Linked DNA regions of Arabidopsis thaliana. The protein of the gene in region 1 interacts with the protein of each later gene in a pairwise test. Each region holds a gene or a part of one and is shown on either strand. Other genes may lie near its edges. The genes, in order: ATHM2 and G6PD4.

What was found.
Region 2: the proteins of ATHM2 (region 1) and G6PD4 interact in a two-hybrid assay, tested with the Arabidopsis thaliana proteins (one study listed by BioGRID).

What each region holds. Positions count from the first base shown.
Region 1 is NC_003075.7:1,561,502-1,566,151, forward strand, and holds ATHM2 (Thioredoxin superfamily protein), read right to left. Parts: upstream 2,704-4,650; 5' UTR 2,555-2,703; coding exon 2,311-2,554; intron 1,895-2,310; exon of another isoform or gene 1,736-1,894; intron 1,401-1,735; coding exon 1,084-1,400; 3' UTR 702-1,083; downstream 1-701. UniProt on the Arabidopsis thaliana protein: Thiol-disulfide oxidoreductase that may participate in various redox reactions. May activate NADP-malate dehydrogenase.
Region 2 is NC_003070.9:3,037,818-3,043,808, forward strand, and holds G6PD4 (glucose-6-phosphate dehydrogenase 4), read right to left. Parts: upstream 4,057-5,991; 5' UTR 3,899-4,056; coding exon 3,797-3,898; intron 3,563-3,796; coding exon 3,358-3,562; intron 3,272-3,357; coding exon 3,024-3,271; intron 2,927-3,023; coding exon 2,832-2,926; intron 2,748-2,831; coding exon 2,633-2,747; intron 2,502-2,632; coding exon 2,296-2,501; intron 2,216-2,295; coding exon 2,107-2,215; intron 2,008-2,106; coding exon 1,973-2,007; intron 1,854-1,972; coding exon 1,697-1,853; intron 1,633-1,696; coding exon of another isoform or gene 1,627-1,632; coding exon 1,430-1,626; exon of another isoform or gene 1,355-1,429; coding exon 1,154-1,354; exon of another isoform or gene 1,127-1,153; intron 1,061-1,126; coding exon 823-1,060; 3' UTR 652-822; downstream 1-651. Other genes in the region: NIMIN-3 (NIM1-interacting 3), read right to left, coding at 93-431; ACLA-3 (ATP-citrate lyase A-3), read left to right, coding at 4,318-4,416, 4,673-4,849, 4,926-5,087, 5,199-5,279, 5,550-5,601, 5,699-5,813, 5,905-5,986. UniProt on the Arabidopsis thaliana protein: Seems to be a catalytically inactive enzyme.

The DNA.
Region 1 (4,650 bases):
CTTCTTAGGTCGCGAAAGTTGATACAATCAAAAGGACACGAGAAGACCATTTACAAAGTCCAAATCATAATATTATAATGAAAGTTGTTTGATACAAACAAAAGTCACGAAAATGCATTTATAAAAGTCCAACTGATCTATTATTATAAAACCGGATTGCATCTTTCTTTTGACCTTATCTTCAGCCTAAATATATAATTCTCAAACCAAGGACGGCAACCAAAAAAAAAAAAAAAAGACATTACCAATAGAGAGGTTTCATCAGATTTAACACTTTCGTTCAGACCTAATATATTAGAATATTTTCTTGGCAATCTAAAACTAAAACTTTATGAACTAATCATATAATTTATCTTCTTGATATTTCTGATTTATATTGTCCAAACTAAATAACTTGGTTTTGGTCGAACTTTAGTCATAGACCGGATCAACAACTCTAAAACCTCAAAAGCTTGTCGGGAACTGTGGGATCAGTCCAAAAATAACTCAATTCTTTCGGCTATTATTCATTTTGTCCTAATTGACATATCCTTATCCACAAATTGGGTACACATAAACTATGGTGGATGAATTTCTTTGCTTATGCAAAAATAAGGAGATATTTCGAACGTATTTATTCTCTTTTGCTCGTGGTCGATAAAGACCTTTTTCAGCTGAATACGTATATTCTTTCTTTAGATTAGGACATGTATGAACCTTTAGCCCCTTTTGCATACATGTGCTCATTCATTAGAGTGTCGCATAATATCTTTTAATACGAGGAGTTTTAGAATAAGTAACAAACCTTAGCGTGTGTTCATCAAAAAACTTGCAGAACCAAACAATCTTAAGATCTCTCTCATGACCAAAAAAAGATTGGTGGAATCATTTTAATGTGGTTCCATTAGTCTAGTCCAAGATTGTTCTTTGATACCTTTAGTTCCGCATCTCAAAACATCTTCAAACCAGTAAAAATGACATAAGACATGACATCATATTATTTATCCAGGTCTAGATGTTCAGTGATAATGAGTTACAGAGATAATGAGAACAAGAACGAGAGACAGAGAGATACGAGATCTTACAGACTCCACAAGTGATATTTCATGGCAAGAACTTGTCGAGGCTAGATGTGAGTGTGGTTTTGGGCACTGCACCTATGATTGTATCCTTCTTCTCGCCACCGACAAAGATCATGATCGTTGGGATGCTTCTAACTCCGTACTGGCCGGGAGTATTAGGAGATTCATCAGTGTTTAATTTGTAGAACTTGATCTTCCCAGTGTAATGCTGTGCTAGATCGTTTACAAGCGGATCAATCATCTTGCAAGGTCCACACCATGGTGCCCAAAAGTCGACAACTACAGGCCCAGTTGCTTTAAGAACTAGAGAGTCCCATGTCGAGTCATTGACCACTTGAACTGCAGGATCAATAACACAAATCAACACCTTATTGCCAAAGCTTTTAGAATCATGAATGAAAACAAAATATATCAGCCAAGGTGGACGAATAAAACAAAGAGACAGCTGACCCGTTTATCCATCTTCAGCTAGATCAGTATGTTGTAGCAAGTCTATATGATATTTCCTAAAAATGATCTAGAAGTGAAAGTTTTTCAAAATAGAAATTTGATAGATCCAGTGAAGGATAAAGCTTTATGTTTTCACCAGAGAGGAGAGACCAATGACTGAGTTAACATTGTAGCAGATAATACTGCTAATCTCACCAAACACATTATCACGGAAAAGGACTTACCTATCTAAAATCGTAGAATATCAATGCTAGTGATAACCAAAATCGTTATCTGCTGGTATAGAGAATCAAGATATGTTTACTCTAAAGCACAAAAAGCAACATTCTTCTCTCATGAGCCAAATAACTGTTTCTTGTCACAATGTGTATGATCCAACCAATAAAATATCTGAGTAGGTACCCAACCTAATTTCTAGGTTTGTTAGAGAGACTTTGCATTAATCAAGTAAAATATCCCCAAAAAAGAAGTGATCCTAAAAAGCAACCTTCTTCAAATTTCACGCAAATGGCATGAATCGTTCCTCTAACAGAAACCTCATTTTCAGCAAGAATTTTCTCAAAAGGTATACTCTCCTAAAGAAACTCTTCTTCCTCCTCCAGATTCACTAATCTGTAACTAATCTCAAGTTTTTAGCAGATTACTAAATGCTACAACAAGAACAACAACACAAATTCAAGCACCTTGCTTCTAATTTCCCTCGCACAAATCAATAATCAGTTCTCAAAATCCACCAACGAGCACGAATCAAAGACAAGTTAATAACCAAAATCGAAAAAGGAATAGTGAGAAAACATACTATCGGTAGTAGTTTCCTGAGCTTCACAGACGACGGCTCTTCGTAATCGAGAAACCCTAGGTTGATGAATCGAGGTCAACGAAGCCGGAGAGAGAGAAAGACGGATTCTCAAACCTGATGATTCCGGTAAGACGGCGAACATCCGCCGAGAAGAGAGAGAAGAAGCCGATGGTGATGAGGATACGATTCTGGTCTCGGAGCGGAGAGAAATCGGAGGACGAGAGGTACAAGTGAAAGCAGCCATGGCTATAGATAGAGAGAGGAGAGGTTTCTCCAAATCCCCAAGTGAAAAAATAATATCCAGATAGATAGAGAAAATAAAAAGATAACGAAACTAATGGAAGAGAAAATGTAGACAAAACACTGATGCAGATTTTTTATATATACATCAACACAAACAAATATTTTTGGAAAAATAAGTATTTCTACTAAAAATACAATTAAAATACAGTTGTGAAAAAAATCGAGAAATAATAAATTGAAATATTTTTGAATTTTTTTGATTTGTTGAGCTGTAGATATCATTTGCCCAAAATAACCGAAAAAAGTAGAAAACGAAAACATATTGTAAATTGTTTTTTTAATTGTTTGGGTAAGATAGTGCTCTGACTAAGCCCATCTGTAATAAGCCCATAAAACTTTTGAGATATTTTTTATTGGGCTCATATTAGGCCAGTTGCACTTTTTTTTTTTAATCCAGTCACTTGTGGATTTAACAGAAATTTTAACAAAGTTCCGTTACCCGCAATTTGTGATCTCGGGTCAATTTAATGACTATTTTGGCAACATCAACAAAAAGTTAGCGACTGAAATAAGAAGTCACTAAAAGTTGACTATTGAAATGAAAAGTCAATAAAATTTAAACGTATTATTTTACCCCACACTAATTTTTTTTTTTTTTTTTTTTTTTTTGTATTTTTGAACATTTGAAGATCTCCTGACATTTTTTCGCAATTGTTTTTCTCAAAATTTTCTTTAAAAAAATAAATAAATTATAACGCTTGCTTATAAGATAACTAAAAGTCTAAAATTTTGAATAAAAAACTATTTGGCATGAAAAATTCGCTTTTGTTAACAATTTTCTTCAAAATTGGTTCGTTGAATCCTAAATAATATCTGATGACAAAAAAAAAGATTATAGCAAAAGTATTTTCTTGGAAAACCAACATTTTAAAACTTGATTGGTAATGGTATGACAATTAGCTCTTGAAAAATGAAAACAAAAACAAAATCTTAAAAATCTATAAAACTTTCAAAACCAACATTTTGGATCTGCCTCTTTTTCTTTTTCTTATATACCTCTAGTATTGAGGAACCACTTCAAAGTCTTTCCTCTGATGTCACTTTAGCTCGCTGACATCTCTTCTACTCCTCAATTTCTTTATAATCTCGGTAGATCTCTCTACTAAAGAAATTCCTCCTTTCTTGGTTTCTTCTCAATATTTTGTTTTATTTTTGTTTTCTCTTTCCACATGTCTCTTTTTATTATGTTACAAAAATTTCCTCAATGTTTTCTACGATGTTAGGTTCAATGCGTCCGGTCACCACTTATGTTTTCACTGTAAGAACTCATTATTCCCCAGCCCTATGCGAAGAAAGAAAATGGTGGTAGCTAGAGACCAAGTGATGGATTTTTACAAACGTGTTCATAGTGTCCTCACAGATAAAGAGTTGTCGAAATTAGAAGATTTGAGGCAGCTTATTCGATCAAAATAATCTTACAATAAAGAAGTTATCTTCAACACCGACATCATATCTCTTTTATATGATTCACAGTGTCATTGATGAAATGAAAAGTTGGTTGATAATATTTGTTGCGTTGGGGATGGGTTATTTGATGTTCGAATCCTGGGTTTTGTTTAAAAATTTCGTCTATTAATGTATATAGCTTAGATTGTTGTATATAAGCTTAGTTTGGTTAGTATAGATTTCATATAGAGTCTGTACAGGTTGGTATTCTATAAACCAATCTTAATTTTGGTTTAGAGGCTTATGGTTTAGGCCAATATCAGTTTGTATATAAACCCCCAATTGTACTCTTTTGCTAATTAATGAGAATGAGATTGTTTTACTAATATGGTATCAGAGCAAAATATCTCGATCTCAGTCTCGTAACAAACTTTTCCGATTTGATTTCACTGGAATCTCACCGGAGTTTGTTCATCTTCTCATTTTTTTTCTTCTCTTGAACTTCTACACGTTTTCTCTTCGTTTCCTTTGCGATCCAGTCTCATTTGTTAGCTGTTTCGATTCTCCATGGGTAAACGAAATGGAAAGAGTGTTCGTCGGAGTAGTTCACCGGATCTACTTGTCATTGCTTCATCGAAGATTCATGAGCAG
Region 2 (5,991 bases), on another chromosome or scaffold:
CATGACACATTTGTTTTTGGTACGTAGTTACTAACATTCTTTGTTGCTTATACAGAAACTGAAGAGCTCTTTGTCTCTTGTATGTATGTATGCTACAGAGAAAGATTCAAGTCTAAACAAACGTTAGTCTCAGATCCTTCTTGCTTTTCCTTAGAGCCATCATACTCGTTGGATGCTGAAGAGCTCTCATTAGCTGCTTTTTCAATGTTGTTGGCCTCTGCTTTATTCATGAAAATGAAATCTTCTGGCTGAAACGAAGGGAATCTACGAACCCTTGCTCTTTCTTCTTCTTCCTGTCTCTTCTTCTCCATGGAGCTGTTGACATATTTCCGCATTTCCCTTGCGTTTTTAAGCACTGTGTACAACTTCTCCATCTTTTCTTCTTCGTCATCTTCCTTCTCCATTTTCACCCTCTTTCTGTCTCTGTCCATTGAACCGCTCTCTCTTCCTTCCCCTATGAAAATGTTTCTCTTTAGTTACATCATTTTCATCCTACTTTGATCATCAACACATGATACATCTGGAAGAATTTTCTGGAGGAATTGGTGGAGAAGATATAATTATTGCCTCTAGTGGGAAGACTAACAACATGACCTTATCTAAAAGTCTCTCAGACTTTCTTCTTTCCTTTGGGTGGCTTTGGAGACTTTTCAACACTATTATGGACCCCACCATGATGGACATTCATATAGCAACATGACATACATGTGTACATATGTACAGTCTACAGGGAATGGCACAGCTTCAAGCTAAACAAACACACTTCACAATAACCATTCAGAATCACTCTCATTTGTTTGTTGCTGCATCTATGTTTCTTCTTCAGTCATCTGCCCATGGGACACCGTGCTTGGCCCAAAGATAGTATGCCGCAACTGGTCCTCGTCCACCAAATTCATACAACTCCGGAGCTGTGTGATGCTTGTCTATCTCTTCTAGAACCGGACTAAGAATGTTCCATGCTGCTGCAACCTCATCGCTTCTCATGAACAGATGATTGTCTCCGTCAATTACATCATGAATTAGGTGTTCATATGAGTCTGGTACTTCGGTTTTATACCTACAGGTTTGATCCAACAATTCAACCAACCATAAGGCGCAAAAGTTCGATTTTTAAAATGTGTAGGAACAAAGATGAGAATGCAAAACTTGCCTGTCTTTATAGAGCAAGTTAAGTTCAGAAGCGTCTAGCTGAAGACCTAAACCAGGAACCTTGTTGTTGATTTTCACCAGGATGGCCTCATCAGGTTCGTCACGTAGAATAAGCTCATTTGTCCCCAAATCTATGTTTATTCCAATATTTTCTCGGTATAGGTTTCCAGGAACATGCCGGAATTGCACATGAATCTCCACTCTTTCAACATTAAGGCACACCAATCAATTGTTATGACAGTTGGATATGTCTATGAGTAGGAATAATTATTCTTACCTGTGTTTAATGAGGCCAGTGCCAACTCTTACAAGGAAAGGTACACCATCCCAACGTGCATTATCAATATACAAGGCTGCTGCACAATATGTAGGGTCTACACCGTTCAAGATCACACCGTTCTTGTCTCGGGAACTGGATTTATACTGGCCAAGGATGACATCACGCGGGTCTATCTTGCGAATTGATCTTAAAACCTTCACCTGCAGAAGCAGGTTTGTCACCAAGTCACTTGACAGAACAAGAGTACACAACTTACATATATACCATAAGACGATTTTGTTCTTTACAGTACAGGTTGACCTTTTCATTTCGGATATCTTCACCATCGAGACTTATCGGAGGTTCCATGGCAAGTAATGCGATTGTCTGAAGTATATGGCTGTGCACTATGTCCCGTATTATTCCATATCCATCAGAAAACCTTAAAAAAAGCAGTAGGAAATTAGAAAATAACATTACTGATTTGTCTAAGAATGCTGAAACAACACAATTTACTCTCACATGCAAAGAAATGGTGAAAATAGAACTATTGTGCCTTACTTTTCTGTTTGCGCAATTGATTCTGATATAATAACCTGGAAACATCATTTATACACAAAGTGAACAAACCAGAATGTGGAAGAGGAAAGTTCAGGCACTATACACAACTACAAACAATCAGAAGGAAACACTACCTGTATATTGCGTATGTATGTTCTGTTCCATAGTGGTTCAAAAACTAGATTTGAAAACCTTAACACTGTCAGATTTTCAATGAGGTTTCTTCCTAACATGTGATCTATCCTGTAACGGGCACAGAAGTGTGAAGAAATATGAACTTGAGAGCTGTGCATGCAGAAAGCAACTAGATTTAAAAGAAGGACCTGTAGATTTGCTTCTCTTCAAACTTAGAGAGAAGTGACTTTGTTAACTGATGAGACGAATGTGAGTTAAAACCAAAAGGTTTCTCAACTATTATTCGAGTCCAGCCTCGTGGTGCCTGAGCGTTATCTCCAATGGTGCATGCCACATCCACCAGAGCTTCTTGAGGTACTGAGAGGTAAAAGATTCTATTTGCTTCTGATTCTCCCTGAAGAAGAAAAGCTGTTAATGTCTTATTCTATCTTGCTTGTCTGTTCAAAATGTTGTAAACTCAGAAAGAGGACTACTTCTGGGACAAAATGTAATCATTGAAAGAAAGAAAAAAAGGTACTTAGGAACCTCAATCTGTTTCATTCTCTCGGCAAGTCGGGACATCCCATCCCTGTTATTATAACCTCCATTGATATAGTATGTTCTACTCTGAAATGCATCCATCTTGCCCCCACAATTCTCCCTGAACATTTAGCATCATTCTTTAGCTAGCACGGCCGTATATCAGAGATACCAAATTTAAGGTAGTACCAAGAATTATACATACTGATGATCAACACGGCAAGTCAGCGTTGATGCAATGATGGATCTGAGGTCTTCATCTGTCAGATTCTTTCTTGAAACCCCAAATATAGCAACATCCTGTGACAATGAAGACCAATCAAGAAGACAACCGAAAAAAACTATCCAACTGTTTTGCTGCTTACTTTGTAATTGTTCATGAGCACAAAAGTCATACCTCAGGAAGGTAGCCGCTATAATACAACGCAAACAATGCCGGGAAAATCTTCCCTCTTGCTAGCTCACCAGTGGCTCCTACAACAGCAATGCAAAGTGAGGCCCTTCTTCGAACATCTGAAAGATCATCCGAGAGTTGTTTTGACACAGGTGGTAAGTCTCCAACATTGTGAAACCCATCATTCAAATCCGTTCCCAGAATATTCTCTTCTGGTCGTAAATCTTCAGCTCTAGTTTCTTCAGCAAAACCTGCATCACATTCTACCTCAGGAAGTGCTAAAGAATGATCAAGTGAAGACATGAGATGTAAATTGACTCATATCTTAGAACTAGACCTCGTTCATCATCGCTGAGGAAAGTGTGCTTTGAGTGTGTTGTAAGCTCGTTTACAGGCTGATGTTTTCTGTTGTTGCCTTGTCTACGATTCAAGCTCTTAAGTATCCACAGTTTCAAACCACAGAATCTCCGGCAGAGATTCGAGCCTCCTCCGTTGAGAACAAGGCTTCCACTTCTGGAGAAACTATAGTCTCTTGACGAAACCTATTCACACAAAATAGAGAAATTTCAACAACTAGAAATCAAGTTGATTTCGAAGGTCAATAATATACTAAAGCTTAGATTCAGAGGGCATGTAACACGAATTTGAGATCTTTGGTGAGATTGCAGAAAACATTAGCATAATCCAAGAAAAATAATAATCTTTGTTTCTCAAAGTAATGACCTTTTGATAAAACGAAAGCATGCATGAAAGGTAGAGCGAATACATGTGCTTACCGGAAAATTAGAAAAAGAGGCGGCGAGATGGCAAGAGCAGACGGAGGAAGACGGAGCCGTCGCTGATTGAGAAAAGGGAAGCAAGCAACTGGAGAGAGACATGAGGATAGTTCCTCAGGGATTATAGCTAAACATGTTCAAAGCTTTAAAGCTGCTTTAAGTGGATCAAAGTGGAAGACGAGTGCAAGTTTAAGTTTTCTGATTGACGCCTCCATTAATGGTTCCAACTTTCAGATAATCGTCGGGTTCTTCTAAACCGAACCGTACCGGTTGGTTCTCGAGGAAAGAGAATTGAATTTGTGGTTTAGGCGGGGGTGGGTAGGTTGACTTTCGATATCTCAACGTCAACGTCTCTTCTGGTCCCGCCGAGTCGGCGTCATCGTTGAGTTGGTGAGATCATCTTCTTCTCAACTTCATCGATCTTATCGTCTCGAAAATTGTCACCTTTTCTTCTCAGCTACTTCAGGCGGAGAAACACTTTCCGTGGTTTAGTGTTGAGGACGATCACTGTTTGTAATTCGATGGCGAGGAAGAAGATCAGAGAATATGACTCCAAGAGACTTCTCAAGGAGCATTTGAAGCGTCTTGCTAATATTGACCTGCAGATTCGCTCTGCTCAGGTCATTCTCACGAATTCTAGTTTTGTTTTCATCGATCTGCTTTGTGGAAATTCGATAGCACAATTCAATTGGAACTCTTGAATGAATCGTGTTTTGTCTGAATGTTATTGAGAGTAATCTTGGACTTAGATAGAGCTAATGAAAGTGAGAATCTTGGGAAAGATCTCTTTCTACTGATGACTTTGGACATGGCATGATTAGTTGATTACTAGAACTACTGATGATGGGTGATTCGTTTATTGTTGTATACTTTTAGGTGACAGAATCTACGGATTTCACTGAGTTAACCAACCAGGAGTCATGGCTATCGTCCACAAAGCTAGTTGTGAAACCGGATATGCTATTTGGGAAACGCGGGAAAAGTGGTTTGGTAGCTCTAAAGCTGGATCTTGCTGAAGTTGCAGACTTTGTCAAAGCCCGCCTCGGCACTGAGGTGACTCATCGCAGCCAGAGTTATAGATCAGCTGGTAAATTTTGTTGTGGTATTGATGTTTGTTTATGAGTCGCAGGTCGAGATGGAGGGATGTAAAGCACCTATCACTACATTCATTGTGGAGCCTTTTGTGCCTCATGATCAAGAATACTACCTCTCTATAGTATCTGATAGACTTGGATGCACTATAAGCTTCTCTGAATGTGGTGGCATTGAAATAGAAGAGAATTGGGACAAAGTACTACCTTTTTTTTTTTTTTTGTGCTTCTTTTCTTGTTTTGTTGCATTATCTTTTTCGACTCACTTCTGTTGTTTTCTCCTGGGGAACTTGGTTTTCTGGTATCAACAGGTGAAGACTATATTTCTTCCTGCGGAAAAGTCGATGACGCTAGAAGTATGTGCTCCATTAATAGCAACTCTTCCTCTTGAGGTAAGTTTCTGTTCCCCTGTGATTAACTTCCTAGTAAGCCAGCGGCACCCTGCAACTATTTGCTTTAGATAACCCTAGAAATCTGGTTTTGATGTGCGTACATTTTCGGTCTTTGTATGGTGTTCTACTTTCAATCCTATGCAAATTCAAAGATCTGTTAGTCTGAACTTAGGCTGCTCAGTACTTGCATTCTTTTTTAAGGAGATTAATAATTTAGGTTGTTTTGAACTATGCTATGCCTGCTCTAACAAATGCTTCTATCTATTTCAGGTTCGAGCTAAAATCGGCAACTTCATAATGGGTGCCTTTGCTGTATTTCAAGGTATGAGTATATTAGATTAGGCCACTTCTTGACTTTGCTCTGATTCGAGATCTCTCAAGGACATCTTCTTATTATCTACTTGTGTGTTTCTTTAAAGATTTGGATTTCAGTTTTATGGAGATGAATCCTTTTACACTAGTCGATGGAGAACCATTCCCTCTGGATATGAGAGGAGAATTAGATGACACTGCTGCCTTCAAGAATTTCAACAAGTATGTCTAACATTTCTAAGTTCCCGGTGAGAGACCCGCAATCAATTTTTCCGGTGGAAACTCATTGGATTGATAAGTTTTATTAATACAGGTGGGGAGACATTGAATTTCCTCTGCCATTTGGAAGGGTCCTCAGTTCTACAGAGAACTTCATCCATGGTTTAGATGAGAAGGTTTA